Diceros bicornis minor: one gene and its partner. The protein of the gene in region 1 purifies or fractionates together with the protein of each later gene. This does not show direct contact. Links are inferred from orthologs where the notes say so. Each region holds a gene or a part of one and is shown on either strand. Other genes may lie near its edges. The genes, in order: NUDCD3 and KLHL9.

The links.
Region 2: the proteins of NUDCD3 (region 1) and KLHL9 purify together in Homo sapiens (co-immunoprecipitation; 3 studies listed by BioGRID and IntAct, with this or other methods). This does not show direct contact. The link is inferred for Diceros bicornis minor from reciprocal best matches to the Homo sapiens genes NUDCD3 and KLHL9.

Annotation. Positions count from the first base shown.
Region 1 is NC_080780.1:1,557,635-1,567,622, reverse strand, and holds the start of NUDCD3 (nudC domain-containing protein 3), read left to right. Parts: upstream 1-5,898; 5' UTR 5,899-6,032; coding exon 6,033-6,224; intron 6,225-6,519; exon of another isoform or gene 6,520-9,988.
Region 2 is NC_080761.1:43,537,173-43,546,545, reverse strand, and holds the start of KLHL9 (kelch-like protein 9), read left to right. Parts: upstream 1-5,074; 5' UTR 5,075-5,599; coding exon 5,600-7,453; 3' UTR 7,454-9,373.

The DNA of each region.
Region 1 (9,988 bases):
TGCAACTGATTTTTCTAAGTTTATTTTGTACCTTGCAACTTTGCTGTAGTTGTTGATTATTTCTAATAGTTTTCTGATGGATTCTTTAGGGTTTTCTATATATAAAATCATGTCGTCTGCAAATAGTGAGAGTTTCGTTTCTTCATTGCCTATTTGGATTCCGTTTATTCCTTTTTCTTGCCTAATTGCTCTGGCCAGAACTTCCAACACTATGTTGAATATGAGTGGTGAGAGTGGGCACCCTTGTCTTGTTCCTGTTCTCAGAGGGATGGCTTTCAGCTTTTCCCCATTGAGTATGATGTTGGCTGTGGGTTTGTCATATATGGCCTTTATCATGTTGAGGTACTTTCATTCTATACCCATTTTGTTGAGAGTTTTTATCATAAATGGATGTTGGATCTTGTCAAGAGCTTTCTCTGCATCTATTGAGATGATCATGTGGTTTTTATTCCTCGTTTTGTTAATGTGATGTATCACGTTGAATGATTTGCGGATGTTGAGCCATCCTTGTGTCTCTGGTATAAATCCTACTTGATCGTGGTGTATGATCTTTCTAATGTATTGCTGCATTCGGTTTGCCAATATTTTGTTGAGGATTTTTGCATCTATGTTCATCAGTGATATGGGCCTGTAATTTTCCTTCTTTGTATTTTCCTTGTCTGGCTTTGGTATCAGGGTGATGTTGGTCTCAGAGAATGTGGTAAGAAGTGTTCCATCTTCCTCTGTTTTTTGGAATAGTTTGTGAAGGATAGGTATTAAACTTTCTTCGAATGTTTGGTAAAATTCTCCAGAGAAGCCATCTGGTCCTGGACTTTTATTTTTTGGGAGGTTTTTGATTATTGTTTCAATCTCTTTACTTGTGATTGGTCTATTCATGTTCTCTATTTCTTCTTGATTCAGTTTGAGAGGTTGTATGAGTCTAAGAATTTATCCATTTCTTCTAGATTGTCCAGTTTGTTGGAATATAGTTTTTCAAAGTATTCTCTTATAATCCTTCGTATTTCTGTGATATCCATTGTGATTTCTCCTCTTTCATTTCTAATTTCATTTATTTGAGCCTTCTCTGTTTTTTCTTTGGTGAGTCTGGCTAAGGGTTTGTCAATTTTGTTTATCTTCTCAAAGAACCAGCTTTTTGTTTTATTGATCCTTTCTACTGTTTTTTTGGTTTTGATTTTGTTTATTTCTGTTCTAATTTTTATTATTTTCCTCCTTCTGCTGACTGTGGGCTTTGTTTGTTCTTCTTTTTCTAATTCTGTTAGGTGTAATTTAAGATTGCTTATTTGGGCTTTTTCTTGTTTGTTAAGGTGGGCCTGTATTGCTATGAATTTCACTCTCAGGACTGCTTTTGCTGCATCCCATATGAGTTGGTATGGTGTATTTTCATTTTCATTTGTCGCCAGGTATTCTTTGATTTCTCCTTTAATTTCTTCAATGATCCATTGGTTGTTCAGTAGCATGTTGTTTAGTCTCCACATCTTTGTCACTTTCCCAGCTTTTTTCTTGAAGTTGATTTCTAGTTTCATAGCATTATGGTCAGAAAACATGCTTGTTATGATTTCAGTCTTCTTAAATTTATAGAGGTTTGCCTTGTTTCCCAACATATGGTCTATCCTTGAGAATGTTCCATGCATGCTTGACAAGAATGTGTAATCTGTTTTTTTGGATGGAGTGCTCTATATATACCTATTAAGTCCACCTGGTCTAGTTTTTCATTTAAGTCCACTATTTCCTTATTGACTTTCTGTCTGGATGATCTATCCATTGATGTAAGTGGACTGTTAAGGTCCCCAACTATTATTGTTTTGTTGTTGATATCTCCTTTTAGGTTTGTTATAATAGTTGCTTTATGTACTTTGGTGCTCCTGTGTTGGGTGCATATAAGTCTTATGTCTTCTTTGTGGAGTGTCCCTTTTATCATTACATATTGCCCCTCTTTGTCTCTCATTACCTTTTTAAATCTTGAAGTCTACTTTGTCTGATAGAAGTATGGCAACACCTGCTTTCTTTTGTTTGCCATTACCTTGGAGTATTGTCTTCTACCCCTTCACCCTGAGCCTGTGTTTGTCTTTAGAGCTGAGATGTGTTTCCTGGAGGCAGCAAATTTTTGGGTCTTGTTTTTTAATCCATCCAGCCACTGTGTGCCTTTTGATTGGGCAATTCAATCCGTTTACATTTAGAGTGATTATTTATACATGAGGGCTTAATGCTGCCATTTTGTCTCTTGTTTTTCAGTTATTACGTATTTCCCTTGTTTCTCGTCCCACGTATTTTGGATTGTTAATTCAGTTTGGTGGCTCTCTATGATGGTTTTCTCAGTTCTCTCTTTATTTATCACTTGTGTATTTGTTCTGGTTTTTTGTTTAGTGGTTACTGTGCCGTTTGTACAAAAGATCTCATAGATGAGATAGTCCATTCCCTGATAGCCTCTTGTTCCCTTAGTCTAAGCAGGTTTCATCACTTTCCTCTTCCCCTTCTAAGTTGTTGTTGTCACAACTTATTCCACTATGCATTGTGAATTTGTGGTTAAAATGAAGTGATAATATTTATTTTTGATGTTTTATTTTCCTTTATCTTTAGAGTTATAATTAAGTGTTTGCTAATCTGTTCTGACGGAGAGTTGCAATTTCTGATTTTATCTGCCTATTTATCTGCTTCCTCAAGGCTTTGTAAACCCTTTCTTTCTTTTTTTTTCAGGTATGAAGTCTTTCTTGATCAAATCTTGTAGGGGGTGTCTTGTGGCAATGAACTCCCTCAGCTTTTGTTTATCTGGGAAAGTTTTTATTTCTCCATCATATGTGAAGGATATTTTCACTGGATATAGTATTCTTGGCTGAAAGTTTTTGTCTTTCAAAATTTTGAATATATCATTCCACTCTCTCCTAGCCTGTAAGGTTTCTGCTGAAAAATCTGCTGTAAGCCTGATAGGGCTTCCTTTACAGGTTATTCTCTTCTGCCTTGCTGCCCTTAATATTTTTTCTTTATCATTGACTTTTGCCAGCTTTACTAATATATGCCTCGGAGAAGGTCTTTTTACATTGATGTAATTAGAAGTCCTGTTGGCTTCTTTTACATGTAATTCCAGTTCTGTCTTCAGGTTTGGGAAGTTCTCAGTTATTATTTCTTTGAACAAGCTCTCTGCTCCTTTTTCCCTCTATTCTCCCTCTGGAATACCTATAATCCTGACGTTGCATTTCCTAACTGAGTCAGATATTTCTTGGAGAATTTCTTCATTTCTTTGTAGTCTAAGTTCTCTTTCCCTCTGAAGCATTTCTGTGTTCCTATCCTCCAGATTGCTAATTCTTTTTTTTGTTGTTGTTGTGAGGAGGACCAGCCCTGAGCTAACATCCAATGCCAATCTTCCTCTTTTTTTACTGAGGAAGACTGGCGCTGGGCTAACATCCATGCCCATCTTCCTCTCCTTTATATGGGATGCTGCTACAGTATGGCTTAACAAGTGGTGCATCGGTGTGCGCCCAGGATCTGAACCAGCAAACCCTGGGCCGCCGCAGCAGAGCGCGTGCACCCAACCTCTTGCGCCACCGGGCCAGCCCCCAGATTGCTAATTCTATCCTCCATATTATCAGCCCTGTTGTTTAAGGACTCCAGATTTTTCTTTATCTCATCTATTGTGTTTTTCATCTCTAACAATTCTGTTTGATTTTGCTTTATATTTTCGATCTCTTTTGTGAAGAATTCCCTCTATTCAGTAATTTGGTTCCTGATTTCATTGAACTGTCTTTCAGAATTCTCTTGTAGCTCATTGAGTTTTCTTATGACAGCTGTCTTGAATTCTTTGTCATTTATATCATAGATTTCCATGCCCTCAGGACTAGTTTCTAGGTGTTTGTCTTTTTCCTTCTGGTCTATCTCCACCACCTCCTGGGGGGAGAGGTAGTCCACCCACCCTCAGATATGCAGCTGCTCATGTCTCTCAGGCATCCTGGTGTGCTGTGTGGGTATCCTCCGCTGATCAATGAATGTCCTTTTAGTTGTAGTTCGAAGGGCGAGAGACACAGGGAACCCACGGAACACCATTTTTAATGAAAGAATGACTAACAGAAGGAAGTGAGCCTGTCACTTCAAGAAAAGCAATTGATAGTTATTTATTGCCAATAATAAAGTTCAAGTTTTCAAGTAAAAATTAGAGTTTTTGAAAATCTGCATCCTGGCTCCATGAGATTCCCAATAATTAAAAACTTCTCTGAGGAATCCAGTAATGATATTACTGTATGTGGGTTTTTTTTTTTTTTTTTGGTATTGTATAATGAAATGAGTGAACATTTGGAAGAACTGCATACTCAGTGGACAAATGTTTTCAAATGATGAATGCATAGTGTTACAAAAATAATGCATGTGCAGGATCCATTCAAAGTGCGAGATAGACCAATGAATATTAACATGACAAAGTAGGAAATGTTTATTGATAAAGTTTCAGATTCCATATTGCAACTAACCTTTAAGAAACTACCACCTGTGGTGAATTTTGGTGTACTTTCAAAGAATAATGCATTTATTTGAAAAGACAGCTAAAACGCTCCTCTCTTTTCCAGCTGCTGTCTGTGTGAGACTGGGTTTCTTCACATACCTCAATCAAAACAACATATTTTGATGCAGTGAATGCAGCAGATGGGAGAATCTTGCTGCCTTCGATTGTCAGACAAGGAAGAGATTTGCAAAAATGTAAAACTATGCTACTCTTCTCACTAAACTTTTATTGCTTTAAAGAACATTATTTCTTCATAAAAATGTTAACATGTAATGTGGTTTTTACGGTTATTTAAAAGTGAGTAAATAAATATTTTAAAATTTTCTCAATTTTAATTTCTAATATGGTAACTATCGATAACCATAACCCACATAAATAAAAGTTCTTTGGAGTCTTCAATAAATTTTAAGAGCGCAAATGGGTCCTAAGTCCAAAAAGTTTCAGAACCAATGCTCTAGGGCAATCTAGCTGAGTTTGAGTTTATTTACAGTTCATCAGAGCCCATATACTATGAAGACATATGTTAACTCCTAGATTTTATTCCAGTAGAGATGCAAATCATTTCCATCCATCAGAAAAGATAACCTATGGTTTTATTATTTTGTAGGACACCAGCTAGCTTTGTGTTCAACCTAACAATCGTACTCTGTTTTCTCAAAATGCTATAAATATCCAGTTCCTCCAAATGCTCTTTGAACCAGCTTTATCACATCACTGGTTACTTTGTTAATTAAATTGTTGAATACAATCTTTGACGTGATCATTTTATATTTGTATGAGTGCTATGTTTTTAACTTTTTGAAAGAAGATTAAACTTGGTCAGATACTTAGGACATGTATATATGCAGTGTGTATGTATACCATGCACACACATGTATATACTACACACACACATATATATTTCACAATGACGGCACACCCGATTCTCTATTCTGCACCTAGCTCTCCCCACTTAAGATTCGTGCATGCACTCGCTTTATATTCTTTTCTTCTTTTATTTATGCACGTCACCTTGCATTTCTCCTTTCATTATCAACAGGACCCACACCACTCGCACGCACGCATGTTCCCCACCTGACCCACCAGCAGACGGCGCTCGCCGTCCCGCCTGTACCCTGGGAGTCGGGACACCCAAGCGAGAACCCTACCCATACACCACGTGACAATGCTGGAGGCCTCACATGACTCTGCCCGCGCCATACTCTTCCGCCCGTTTCCAACATGGCTGCTAGGCGCCGTCAGTCCCGCAGCCCCATGCCCTCTTGCGCCTAGGCGCACTTCGGCGCCCACGTCGCTCCTTAGTGAGGCCGCCGGGGGAAGCCGGCAGGGCGGCGAGGGCAGGGCGGCGAGGGCGGGGCCCGCGGCAAGGCCGCCCTAGTGCAGCCCGGCCCAGCCCAGCCCGTCCGCGGGTGCTGAACCAGCGCGGACCAGAAGTCTCGCGGGCGCGCCGGCGGCGGAGCCGTTACCGCAGCGCACCGGAAGTGGCCGGGGGCCGGTGTCCGGGCGGCGCCCGCAGTGAGCAAGCTTCCCTCCGGCCGGCGACGCCATGGAGCCCGGGGCGGCGGAGCTGTACGACCAGGCCCTGCTGGGCATCCTGCAGCACGTGGGCAACGTCCAGGACTTCCTGCGCGTCCTCTTCGGCTTCCTTTACCGCAAGACCGACTTCTACCGCCTGCTGCGCCACCCGTCAGACCGTATGGGCTTCCCGCCGGGGGCCGCGCAGGCGCTGGTGCTGCAGGTAACTCGCGGGGGCGGGCGGCCCGGGATGGGGGGCAGCGAGTGCCCGGACTCGCGCGAGCCCGCCCCGGAAGCCCCTGTACCCTCGAGACCCCGAGCCCCGCGAGTCTGCTCGCGGGAGCGCCGGACCCCCGGGCCCCTCCGCGCCTCTCTCCGCTCCCAGCCTTAGTGGCCCCCTCTGGCCCTTCCCCGGACCCGCCCCCTGGGGCCGCGGCTGAGGGTAAGCCGAGATGCTGGTGGGGTATCAAGTTAGCCCTCTGTGGGAGCTGGACTGGCTCTTGTGCAGCCCGGTCTGACGCAGGGTGCACTTGGGCCCGGTTCAGCTCCCGCAGCGCTTAACCTTCTGAGGTGCCGGAGGCTGCCAGTCAGGGAATGAAAACCGTGCAGGCGGGACGGGGAGGCAGCGGCAGCACGGATTTCCTGCACGCCCCGGGACTTCAGAGACTGGAGGTGGAAAGGAGATTGTGGTGATCGGTGGGTGTGGTCCCCTTGTTCGAAATGTGACTTTCCAGGTCAAAGACAGTCATAGTACTCAGGGAATTTATACATTTGAGCACATGTTTATACATCCCAGGTTGCGTTTACTGTGTGTTTGAGATACTGTTAATACTCAGTCACTGACGTTGACTGGGTACCTTGGAATGTAATAAGTATTTTCTGAATGTGTTTATTCTCTCAACTGCCACAGGCATTGGAGATACAGTGGTGATGTGGATGGTGTAAGTGATGGTCTCTCTCCTTGTGACACTTCCATTATCGTTAGGAAGATAAAACACAGTAACAGAGAACTATGCAAGGCCAGTTATGTGACAGAGCCCAGAGGGAAGTGAGCAGAGGAGAGGAACAGCAGGGATGGTTCTGGAAATCAAGAAAGATTTTGTAGGGGAGGTGGGACTTTGATGGAATTGAAAGCAGGTACTCAGCCAAGCATTGAGTCTGTTTGTAGGAACCTGAGACGATAGAAATGCTGGTGATACCTTCCACAGTTCTCTAGCACTTTGCGGTTTATAAAGTACTTTCAAATGTTACCTCCTGAAGTCTTGCCACAAGCTGCAGGTTGGTCAGGTGTTGTTTTTCTCAGTGCCTGCATGAAGAAACAAAAGCTTAGAATGTGTAACTACTAAAGATAATATGGTCAAATGAGGGCTGGGTTGGTATTCAATTTTAGAACTGCAGGCTAGTCCTCATCCTTTCAGTGGCTGAGTGCCATCTGAGTAATGGTTTTTATCAGGCCCTGTGGCAGTTGGATGCTTTCATGGAAGTCCCTGTGAAATTGGTAAGGTTGAATTTTATGTGGCAAATGAGGATGCTAATTCAGCAAGGTTAGGTTATTTGACCAAATTTATCATAGAGCTGGAACTCAAAACTTCATTTTTCTGATTCTAGATCTTTGTCTTTTGTTTTTTAATCATGCCATAGGAGGATGGGAACACTTTTGTCTAGGGTGATTGTAGTTTACAGAAAAGATGTGGAGGAGAAAGGAACATTTGTTGAGCACCTGGCATCTCCTAGTTATTGTGTGAGGTGATTGTACATGCTAGGATGTTATTTAATCCTAACACAACCTGAAAGTTGGTCTTTGCCGTTGTTTTACAGATGACCTGGCGGAGGTAATTTGTTTTTCTGGTAACAGTGTATAAAACATAAAAAGAGTATATGTTCCAGGCACTCTTACAGGTTAGGACTTGGTGACCAGTGTAATGAAGTGGAGGTGGGGAGCAGGGCAGAGGGAGGGAAGAATGAGTGGAAGATGATCCAAGGTTTCAAACTTAGGGGACTGGAATAATGATAATGCATTAACTGAACTGCCACCTAAGTTTAGGGGAAAAAGCTTAGTTTCAGACAACTTGAATTTGAGCTGGCAGACAGAAGTTCCTGCCCACAGGCTGTTGGAATCGTGGCACTGACCTTGGAGATGGAGGAACGGGAGCAGTTTGAGGGAGAGAGAAGAGCCGAAGGTGGAGGGCAGTTCTTTGGGGAACAATCCCAGTGAAGGGACGAGAGAAGAAGAGGTGGTGTGATTGGTGGGGGACAGAGGGAAGTGGGCAGGACAGTAAGTTTCACAGAAAACAAGGGGACAGTTTCCAGCAGATGGTTAAGAAGGGTGTCTTGTTTGTTGAAAGTGATTCCCAACTGTCAGCATTGCCCAAGGAACTTTAAAAAAGCAGACATTCTCTGGGTGTTTTGGTTGGGTAGATCAAGATGAATCCTGGGAGCTATTCTTGTATGCACAGAGGCATTTGGCAGGAGGCTTGTAAAGCGAGTTCAGGATTGGGCAAGAGTTGTTGTGGGGTGGGACATTAGGATACTGAGTCAGATTGAGTGACTGCGCTGTGGTGCAGCACAGTGTTACCTCTCAGTGGTGTTGGGTGATGACCTGATCCCCACTCCTACTCCTCTGCTTCCCCGGGGGTTTCTTCTCTGCTGACTTGAAGGAATATGTCCACCCCACCTGAGGTGGGGCGCTTGGGGATCTCTTCAGAACACAGGCAAAGAGGGTTTGGATGGGAGTATTGGGGTGCTTTGTTCTGGAACTCAGAAGTTCTCCCCTGATATTTTGGGGTGTGGACTGTTGGTGTGGTTAGCGTAAGGCTTCTCAGACTTTTCCTCCTACTTGTAAGGGCTTGCACAGCCTGGATGCACAGCCTGAAGGACCCTCAGCAGGAAAGATGCACGTGAAAATCCCATTCCCCTCCATCATGTATTAGTATGTTTAAAAAAAAAAAAAAGTTTAGAATGCCATTTCATTCATGTCGGTTGATACTCTGTGTTTATCCTGGAGTCCAGTTTGACAGGCCTGCTAAGTAGAAGCTCCCCCAGGAGAATCAGGAAATCCGGCTCTGTCTGTTCCTCACTGAATTTGTTGGGAAATCTCGGGAGAGTCACTCTCATCTGTCAGTTGAGAAGGTTGATTGGAGGTCACAGGTGCCTCATGCAGCTCCACAATTCTGTGATTCTAGAATGAGTGCCGAGGTCAGTAGCGAGTAGAGAGGTGAAACAGGTGGCCAGTTAGAGGAGGTAGGAGTGCTGAGTGAGCAGAGGCATTGGGTGCGATGAGGAGTATCAGGCCTGGGGTTCCAGGGAAGTCCCAGGGGTTAGGAGAGAGCTTCGCTGTTGCTTTTTTTGTGGAGTTAAGATGAAGATCTGGGGCTTAAGGAGGATGAGTGGCTCTGAGGGCAAAGGGTCTGCTGTCATAAACATGGATGTGAGAGAAATGAGTCAGGGGCTCAGGTTCTCTGAAGAAGTAGAATTGGGTCTTTTATTGTTTCTAGTTTTTAGCCGTACGATTTTATTCATTTTCCTCTGCCTACATCTCCTTTCAGTGTTCACTGCTTCCTATATGTATATTTTACTTCCTTCTTTTGCTGGTGGGACGTTGGGCAGGTTACTTACCCTCTCTGAGCGTTACTGTTCCTCATCTTTGCAACGTCAGTGCTGTCTTCCTCACAGCACTTTTGTGAGGGTTTTGAGAGAATGTTTGTAAAAACATTTGCCATAGTTCAGTATGTTAGTATCCTTCTTTTGTTCTGTCTTCCTGCTCAGTGCACAGCACTGATTATTTAATATCTGTCTGCATTCTAGCCCTTTGGAAACTGAGTCCTACCAACTTTGTAAACATTTTTATTTTTTATTTTATTGAGACTATTTTTTTAGAGCATTTTTAGGTTCACAGCAAAATTCAGGGGAAGATACAGAGATTTCCCATATACCCCCTACCCCCACACATGTCCAGCCTCCCCCATTATCAACGTCCCCCACCAGACT
Region 2 (9,373 bases), on another chromosome or scaffold:
CAGGTTGGAGGAAGGAAACGCATTTTGGCTTCTTTTTCTCTCACCGTAGCTGCCCCTGGCCTAAAGGCGCCACGCCCTGCCTGAAAATGAAGACTCGTTCTCTTTGTAACGAAGACGATGGCAAGAGACTTATGCCAATATTAGGGTCAATTCCTGCCAGGAAAGAGCCCCTTATCAGCTCTGGAGTAAAATTCCAGAGGAATTTCTGGAGGTAGAAAGGAGCACATCTATGCAGACCAGAAGCCTGCCCTCCAGACTTGGTCTCTGGCCCTGTCACACTTGGTCAGCAGGGGCCTCTTTTCCTGTGACAGCTTTATTAGCCCACAGTCACTGGATCCTACTTTCTGCTTCCTTTGAACTACATGGGCTGCCCTCACTGTTCAAAAGTATTCAACATAAAAGAGGGATACTTCTCTTACATATGTTTCAACAAAATCTGGAAATATCGTTCAACTATTATTCTCTACTTATGTCCATCTGGGAAAGCTTTAGGCCAGAAACCACAACAGAACAGGAAGCAGTTGTATTAAAAGGGCAGTGCAAGTAAACGGAGTGAAGGAGGAGGGTTCCTGGTAACTTCTACACTGAAGAAGAAGGAAACTGTTGTGACATGGAAGTAATAGATCCAGGAAAGCTGGGAGAGGTGCCAGTAGAAGTGTGCAGGTGCCAAAATGGGCAAAAGAATACAATGTCTTTCCCATTCCTGTCTAGGAGCTTCCTCCCAATTTCAGATATTGATTTAAGCCACTGTGCTGACTGAATATAGGTCAAACATATCTTTGATATGATGCATACCTGTTTTTCAGTCTTCAAGGTTCTTGCCAGAATTCAGCTGACTTTGGTCAGTCAGCTATCAAGAGTGAGATGGTACAATTTCAAACCAGTTTATAGAAAAAGACATGTAATATTCTCATATAGGTTTATATGGAGAAAATGAAGACAATGGCTATCACTTATTAAATGTTAACTCCGAGGAAGGAACGATCCTAAATGCTTTAAAATGTACTTACATCAGCTCTACAAATATTTTTTACTCCATATTCCATTTAAGAAAAATGAAACTCAGGGAAGTTGAGTTGCCTCTGGGCAGAATGTGGGTTCCATGCAGAATCCCACATAGTGAGTTATGGTTGATTCTTTAAGTTACATGTTGGGTTTCTGTTTTGTTTTGTTTTTATCTATTACTTGCAGAATTATGATTTCTCTTTTTCACTGTACTTCTCTTTTTGATGGCTACATTTGTACTTTCTGATGATTTTAATATATTTTTGCTCTTTCCCTTAGATTTTTGTGGAAGAGAAATTCTCCAATCCAATTTCATTTTTCCATTTGATGAAGGAAGTTTCTCAAAATTTTACATTCATTGCAGTATGGTCATTTCTGAGTCCACAAAATTTCATGATTTTTATAAAGCCAACGCTGACCTCTGTAGAACAATTCAAACGTTAATCAGGAAAGATCATCAAGCAATAATATCAAAGAATAGAGCAGGAAAAATTCTTACATACCTAGCCTTACCATCTTTACATACCAGCTTACATACCAGCTTCACCACAAATCAACTGTATTTATAAAACAGCAACAATATAAACATGGTGACAGTAAGGAAAGTTAGGTGACCAGAGTAATAAAGAAAATAATCCCAGAAATTGTGGTATTATCAGTAATAAGTAATTTTGGAATTAAGGGTATCTTAGATGTTAATAAGGAAGAAAAGTAGTTTCAGTAAATGGTAACAGGATAAATACCTGGCAATCTAGACACAAATCAATTTAGATTCTTGTCTCATAGATGAAGATAAAATCCTAATAGAATATAGAAATAAATGTAAAAGATATAAAATATAAAAGGGAACTGATCATTCATAAGATCGATAGAGGAATGAGAATGGGAGAGGACTGGTCCTACATGTTCAACATTCTGGCACAGGAGAAAATACTTAAAAATGAGCTGTTATTTGTCAACATAAAATTGACAAAGAGTTGCATCATAGGAATACAGCTGCCATCTGCATAGAAAGGTTTATGTCTACTTTTAAGAATTAAAGATATATAAAACATCATTCATAAGGACAATACAAAAGTAGTTAATATAAAATAAAACCCAAATAAAGAGAACTAAAAATAGCAAACAAAGCAAAAGAAAAAACTCTCTAGCCCACTAGTATTTTAAAACAGTTGAACAATGATGCTTGACATTTTAGCCTATTAAATAAGCAGTTATTTAAAAGAAATAAAATATCGATTTTATATGCTTTGTGCCACTACATCCATTTCTTGAAATCTGTCTCCCCAAAAAAATGTTTGTAAAAGGTTAAAAAAATTAGGTCCAATAATATTAACACACATTTTTTCTTCAGGTCCTACCCTATTTCTCTTCTCTTTACAGATAAACTTCTCAAAAGAACTTTCTATCCACTCTGTCTCCAACACCTTTCCTCTTATTTAACCTTAGTCAATATACTCCAGTCTGGATTCTATGGAATTAATTCTGCCAAAACAGCCCTCATTTTCCCTGAATACAAGACATTGGCTTTTAAACACATTTCTTTCCTTAAATATCTTCTCATCACCATTCTCTCCTGCTTGTCCTCCTATTGTGCTGCCATTAAATTCCAGCGCCCTTTTCAGGCTCCTCATTCTCTTCCCTGCATTCAAATGTGAAGGTCCCTAAGGTTCAGTTTCTGGTCATCTTCCTAGTCTCTACTCTCTTTCTAAAAGAACTCATTCATTCTCTGGCCTTCAGGGACCAGGTAGACCCCAGCTCCCAAGTTAACACTTCTAGCCTTGACCCTCTGTAAATTCTAGAACTGTATGTCCAACTGTCAAAGTTGAGAGTCTGCATCCTCCAGTTTCTGGTGATAGGAGCTACTTTTCTTTTGCCTATGGTGTTAGCATATAATGTAGTTGAAATTAATTAATTGATCAATATTTTTATGTTTTCTTCCAGCAAAAAGGAAAGTTTCAAGAAGGCTGGCACTTTTCTTTCATCACCTTTTTATCCTGTGAAGGCAGTCATAGAACCTGTAATTTAGATACTCAAGTGTTACATATAGCTTGAATGAAATCAATGAATGAATGAACTGTACCTCCATACTTCACTTGAGGTTGCAATATCAGTCTTGGCATTGATTTATTAAAAATATTGAAATACAATAAATATAGCAAAATAGTTAAGTACATAAGTACATTAATAGGGTCACCTATGTTGGGCTGGTGCCCTCTTTGAACTGGATGCTTTAACTTATAGTTGCTTAATACTATCAACAAATGTTGTGACAAACTTTGTTCAATTTATTTCATGATGAAGGCAGAAAAAACAGTCTTTTGAAATGACTAAACATGTGGGAGTATGATGAATTGTATCTCTCCATAAGAATTGTTTCATTAAGATTATAGGTCTGGTTCCTTAGCTCTTAACATTCCCTGCAAGCTTGACAATAAAGAGAAGGATCTCATGATTTCCTGCTCTAACAACTTCCCAGGTACAGCAGTTCTATTCTTTCTTTTCCATATAGAAACTGATTCCTTGGAAATACCTCTTCATGGCCAGTATGGAGTCCTTCCATCCTCAATTCCTGCACCAAGCAGGTCTCAAGGACTTCCCAATGCTGATAAAGTCCAGGGAAGAACTTCTCCAGGCCAGTCTCATTCCAACCATCCTTTTATGCTGAACAGGTTGAAGATCTGCTGAAGCATCTGGTGGAGGACAGCAGTGGTCTGAGCCTTCTGGACCTTGCTGCTATCCACCAAAAACAACTGAAAACAATTGGAACCAGCTAACTGTCCATCAGTAGGGGCCTGGTTAAATAATTTATGACACACCCATTCAATGGGAAACAATACAACTGCTTAAAAAGATAAAGAAGTTCTCTATGCATTGAAGATCTCCAAGTGAAAAAAGATAGGTGCAGAACAGTGAGTGGGGCATGCCATCTTTTATATAAAAATAGAGAGAGTGTAATAAAAGAATATAGCTATATTCTTATTAGTTTGCATATGTGTAAAGAAACCGGAAGGATTTAAAAGACAGTAATAACTTCAAACTGTGAAAAATGTTGGAAAAAATTGTGTCAAAGTATACATTTATTCATGTGCCAAAATTTAAATTTACTGGTAATTAAAGAAATACAAGTTAATAAAATATCCACAAAGGGAAAGATCAGTAGAGGGGAAATGCACACTCAAACATTGCTGGTGGCAATATTTGGAAACAAATTTTTATGTCTTGAATCACTATTTTACCCTTAGGATTTATAGAGAAACAAGGGAAAGGTTTGTGCCCAGATTCTATAGGTTTATTAAGATTCTATAAAACAATGGGAGACAAGAAGGTATGTTCAAGAACATACAATGTTCTTGTATGTTGAACAATGTTTGTTCAAGAACAAACAATGGGGAAAGAAAACTACAGTATGTTTAGTTATTGGACAATTGTGTACTCATTTAAAAATTTGTGAGTGGAAAACAAAAGTATGAAAAAATTATCGATGTTGGAATTCCACTGAGAGGCAAAAATTCAGGCTATATTATCTACATAGCATGGTCACAATTTGGTATTTTAAGAGAGACAAATGATATGTATTTTAAATAATGAAAAATTTGAAAATATGAACCAAAGTTACAATTGAGGTGTCTATTACTTTGTGTGGGATAAGAATTATAAAGTTTTTAATAGAGGAAAATTTTCATGCAACTTCCCCTTATGCCGTCATCTGCCATATTTCCTTTCAATTTCTACAAAAGCCGCATTTTATTGTTATTCAAAATACAGAAGCCAGTACGCATAAATCTTAAAGAAAAAGTACGCATTTGTGGGGAGAGCTCAGATGCCGTGAAGAGTTGACAGCAAACGTGCAGCATAATATACGGGCACCCCTTCCGGGCCTATTGAATCCCACAGACAAAGCGACCCGCTGAGGCTCCGCTCGCGCCCACCCCCATCCTCACCCTTCCAGAGCCCTGCGCCCTTCCTCCCCAGCCCCCACACGCCCGCCCACTGACAGGTCGGGCGGCCGCGCAGGCGCAGTAGCTGCCGCGGCCGCTCCTAGCCCGGGGGATCCTGGGACTCGGCCTTTCCGGAAGGACCGGCTCGGCGTCTGGGTCTAGGCCCGTGTTCCAGGCCCAGATCCAGGCCCAGGCCCGTGTTCCAGGCCCTTGCTCCAAGACAGACCCGTAGCCGCGGCGACGCTCTCGTGACAGCGGAGGGCGCAGCGGGCCGCTCGCTGAGGTGCCCGGCCTCGCCGCCGAGCGAGCCGCGGAGCCACAGTACGTGGCGGCGCTCCCCTCGGCTCGGAGAGGAACTGCTGGAGGAGCGGCGGCGCAGGCCTGACCAGCTGAACCGGGTCACTTAACTGGCTTCAGGTGATGAATCATCTGCATAATAGTGAGATTTGAGGTCCACAGCGCTTTGTGGTCCTGCGCCAGAGCGGTTTTCAGTGGATGACTGATTGGTGTGTTCCGAGGGGTGCCGCAGTGATTGCTTGCCCTTGCTAAGGAAAGCGAGCTCTCCTGCTCTTTGGACATCCTCGTTTCCTAAAGCATTCAGGTTGTGACCTCTGTCTCCGGCATACGTCTTTGTGCAAGAGGAAGGCTTTCACATGAAAGTGTCTCTTGGTAGCGGCGAGATGGGCGTTTCTGCCCATTTACAGCCTTGCAAAGCAGGAACCACGCGTTTCTTTACCAGCAATACTCACAGTTCCGTGGTATTGCAAGGCTTTGATCAGCTCAGAATAGAAGGATTGCTTTGTGATGTGACCCTGGTACCAGGTGATGGAGATGAAATCTTCCCTGTTCACAGAGCTATGATGGCATCTGCTAGTGATTATTTCAAGGCTATGTTCACAGGGGGAATGAAAGAACAAGATTTAATGTGCATTAAGCTTCATGGGGTGAACAAGGTTGGTCTGAAGAAAATAATTGATTTTATTTATACTGCAAAACTTTCTCTTAATATGGACAATCTTCAGGACACACTTGAAGCTGCCAGCTTTTTACAAATTTTACCTGTTTTGGACTTCTGTAAAGTGTTTCTTATTTCAGGAGTCTCTCTAGATAACTGTGTTGAAGTTGGGCGAATTGCTAACACCTATAATCTTATAGAAGTGGATAAATATGTCAATAATTTCATCCTGAAGAATTTTCCTGCATTATTGAGTACTGGGGAGTTTCTAAAACTCCCTTTTGAACGGCTTGCCTTTGTGCTTTCCAGTAATAGTCTTAAGCACTGTACTGAACTTGAGCTCTTCAAGGCTGCCTGTCGCTGGCTAAGGTTGGAAGACCCTCGGATGGATTATGCTGCAAAATTAATGAAGAATATTCGATTTCCACTGATGACACCACAGGACCTCATCAATTATGTGCAGACAGTAGATTTCATGAGAACAGATAATACCTGTGTGAATTTGCTTTTGGAAGCTAGCAATTACCAAATGATGCCATATATGCAACCAGTGATGCAGTCAGATAGAACTGCTATTCGATCTGACTCGACACACTTGGTTACATTAGGAGGAGTTTTGAGACAGCAGCTGGTTGTCAGTAAAGAATTACGGATGTATGATGAAAGGGCACAAGAGTGGAGATCTTTAGCCCCCATGGATGCTCCTCGTTATCAGCATGGCATTGCTGTCATTGGAAACTTTCTTTATGTAGTTGGTGGTCAAAGTAATTATGATACAAAAGGAAAAACTGCTGTTGACACGGTTTTCAGATTTGATCCTCGGTATAATAAATGGATGCAGGTTGCATCATTAAATGAAAAGCGCACATTCTTCCACTTGAGTGCCCTCAAAGGACATTTGTATGCTGTTGGTGGGCGAAGTGCAGCTGGTGAACTGGCTACAGTAGAATGTTACAACCCAAGAATGAATGAGTGGAGTTATGTTGCAAAAATGAGTGAACCCCACTATGGCCATGCTGGAACAGTGTATGGAGGCTTAATGTATATTTCAGGAGGAATTACTCATGACACTTTCCAAAATGAGCTCATGTGTTTTGACCCAGATACAGACAAATGGACACAGAAAGCTCCAATGACTACAGTCAGAGGCCTGCATTGCATGTGTACAGTTGGAGACAAGCTCTATGTCATTGGTGGCAATCACTTCAGAGGAACAAGTGATTATGATGATGTTCTAAGCTGTGAATACTATTCACCAACCCTTGACCAGTGGACACCAATTGCTGCTATGTTAAGAGGTCAAAGTGATGTTGGAGTTGCTGTCTTTGAAAATAAAATCTATGTTATAGGTGGATATTCTTGGAATAATCGTTGTATGGTAGAAATTGTCCAGAAATATGACCCAGAAAAGGATGAGTGGCATAAAGTTTTTGACCTTCCAGAGTCACTTGGTGGCATTCGAGCTTGTACTCTCACAGTTTTTCCACCTGAAGAAAACCCTGGGTCACCTTCTAGAGAATCACCTCTTTCAGCACCTTCAGATCATTCTTAGGAATAAGGTGTAATACCTTTGCAGTGCATCATGGATGATCTCTTTCCCCTTCAGCTGTATCTTCTTAACAGTGATTGGTAGTTATTAGATAAAAAGGTAACTGATGTTATTTGTGTTGTTTGGCTTAATGTGTTTATCAATGGTTAACAAATGTGTTCTGAAAATGTATTCAACATAGCCAACTGTTTTAACAAATGTAAAAAGATATGTAGAAAAATGTTCAAGTTAGATGTCTTTTTGTGGTGTTGTGTAAGTCAAATTGTAGATGATTGTAGTAAATGTATAATTATGTTCATTATGCTTCAAAGTTGAAAGTTTTCATCTTTGACCGCAAAACATCAAAGGGAGGCTGTGTGCTCTAACCTAAAAGAATAAACAAAAGATCACCAAGCGTTATTAGCTACCTCCCTTTTTTCATAGAGTTTTTGCCATAGCTCCCAACTCACCAGATTGTGTGAGTGCATTCAGATAATGTGAAGTTTCTTAGACAGACAGGAGAAACAATAAATTCAGAAATATTAACTAGAAAAAACAGCATAGCCCTAAGTCAGGGTTTAGTATCTCTTTGGAGAGAGGGACAGGGAGAGAGAAAATATAAACAAACACACATATACATACATACATATGTATATATGTACATACACATATACATGTATAATTATTAAGTTGATTGGCTCTTCAGCTATAGTAGAATTGGTTTTAAATTTAAATTATTTTCTTTCATATAGCAGCTATTTCTATTTAAATGGGAATTCAGTACCAGAGAATAAATGTCTATATAGTCATAATTGAATTGAGATAGATAAGGGCTACAGCATATTAAATTCACAACCAAATTTGTCATTTGACTAAATTGTTACTTCAGATGAAATGTCTACTACTTTTTCTGCTTGTATATTATTTTCTGTAGAGTTGCTTTTATACAGGTTATTTAGCAAAGTTTAGGTTTCCGAGAATTGTTTTGCTCAGTAAATTTAGGCTCTGCTATTTTCCACCTTTTTCTTTGGTAAAACTTATGATATGAAAAAAGCAAAGAAAGAAATGTGCTGAACAAAGCTATAGGATTGTAAGTTCAGTCTCCCAACTTAGTCATCCTAACGTGATTATTTGATCTGGTGGGGTTGCCGTGGTGCTGCACCACCCCATGTGGGTCCTGAGCTTTATGTGACCTGCCTCGAGCCTATGATCTGAGCAAGCAGGTGATATGCTCTTGTCTGCATCAAATCAGAAGAATGTCCTTACGGCTATGTCTAAAGGACAGGACCAACTTCAGATTCCCTAAGAAGCCAGCTACAGAAAGCCTAGGACACTGCTGTCTTGCAGGCAGTACTAAATGAGATTTTCAGCCTCTTCAATACCTAGGGCATCTCTAATGGTTGAGAACCACATGGGGAGATCTTAATGGGACCTTAGCAAATGGAATCATAGGAGTCCTCTGTAGTGATTCTAAAGAAAAGCTTTCCTGGAATAAATTGTCTACCTGAAGAAAAATTTACATATATATATTTACATACCTATATATGTATATCCCTATACTTGGGAGATTGTCATAGTGTAAGTCAGGAACAACCTCGTTATTGACAATCCCATAATAAAACTCAGGAACCAAGACAGAAGGAATTGGCTTCCAGAGATCTGACCCTTATTGCCCATACGAGTGTTGATTGATTAAATGCTTTTTGTGATTTCTGCCTTGGCAGAAATTTTCATACTTTCTGTGTTTTTTTAATGACTCACTTTTTTATTACTAAAAATAGCACATTTGAGTACATCTAGAAAATAGAAAAAGTAGAAATTACTGTTAACCTTGTGCATTGAATAAGCAAGAAATGCCATTCTAATAATTTCCTCAATTATTAATAAGGTTAAATATTTGTGTTTTTTGAGTAGGTGTGTTTCCTCTTTAATCGAATGTTCATG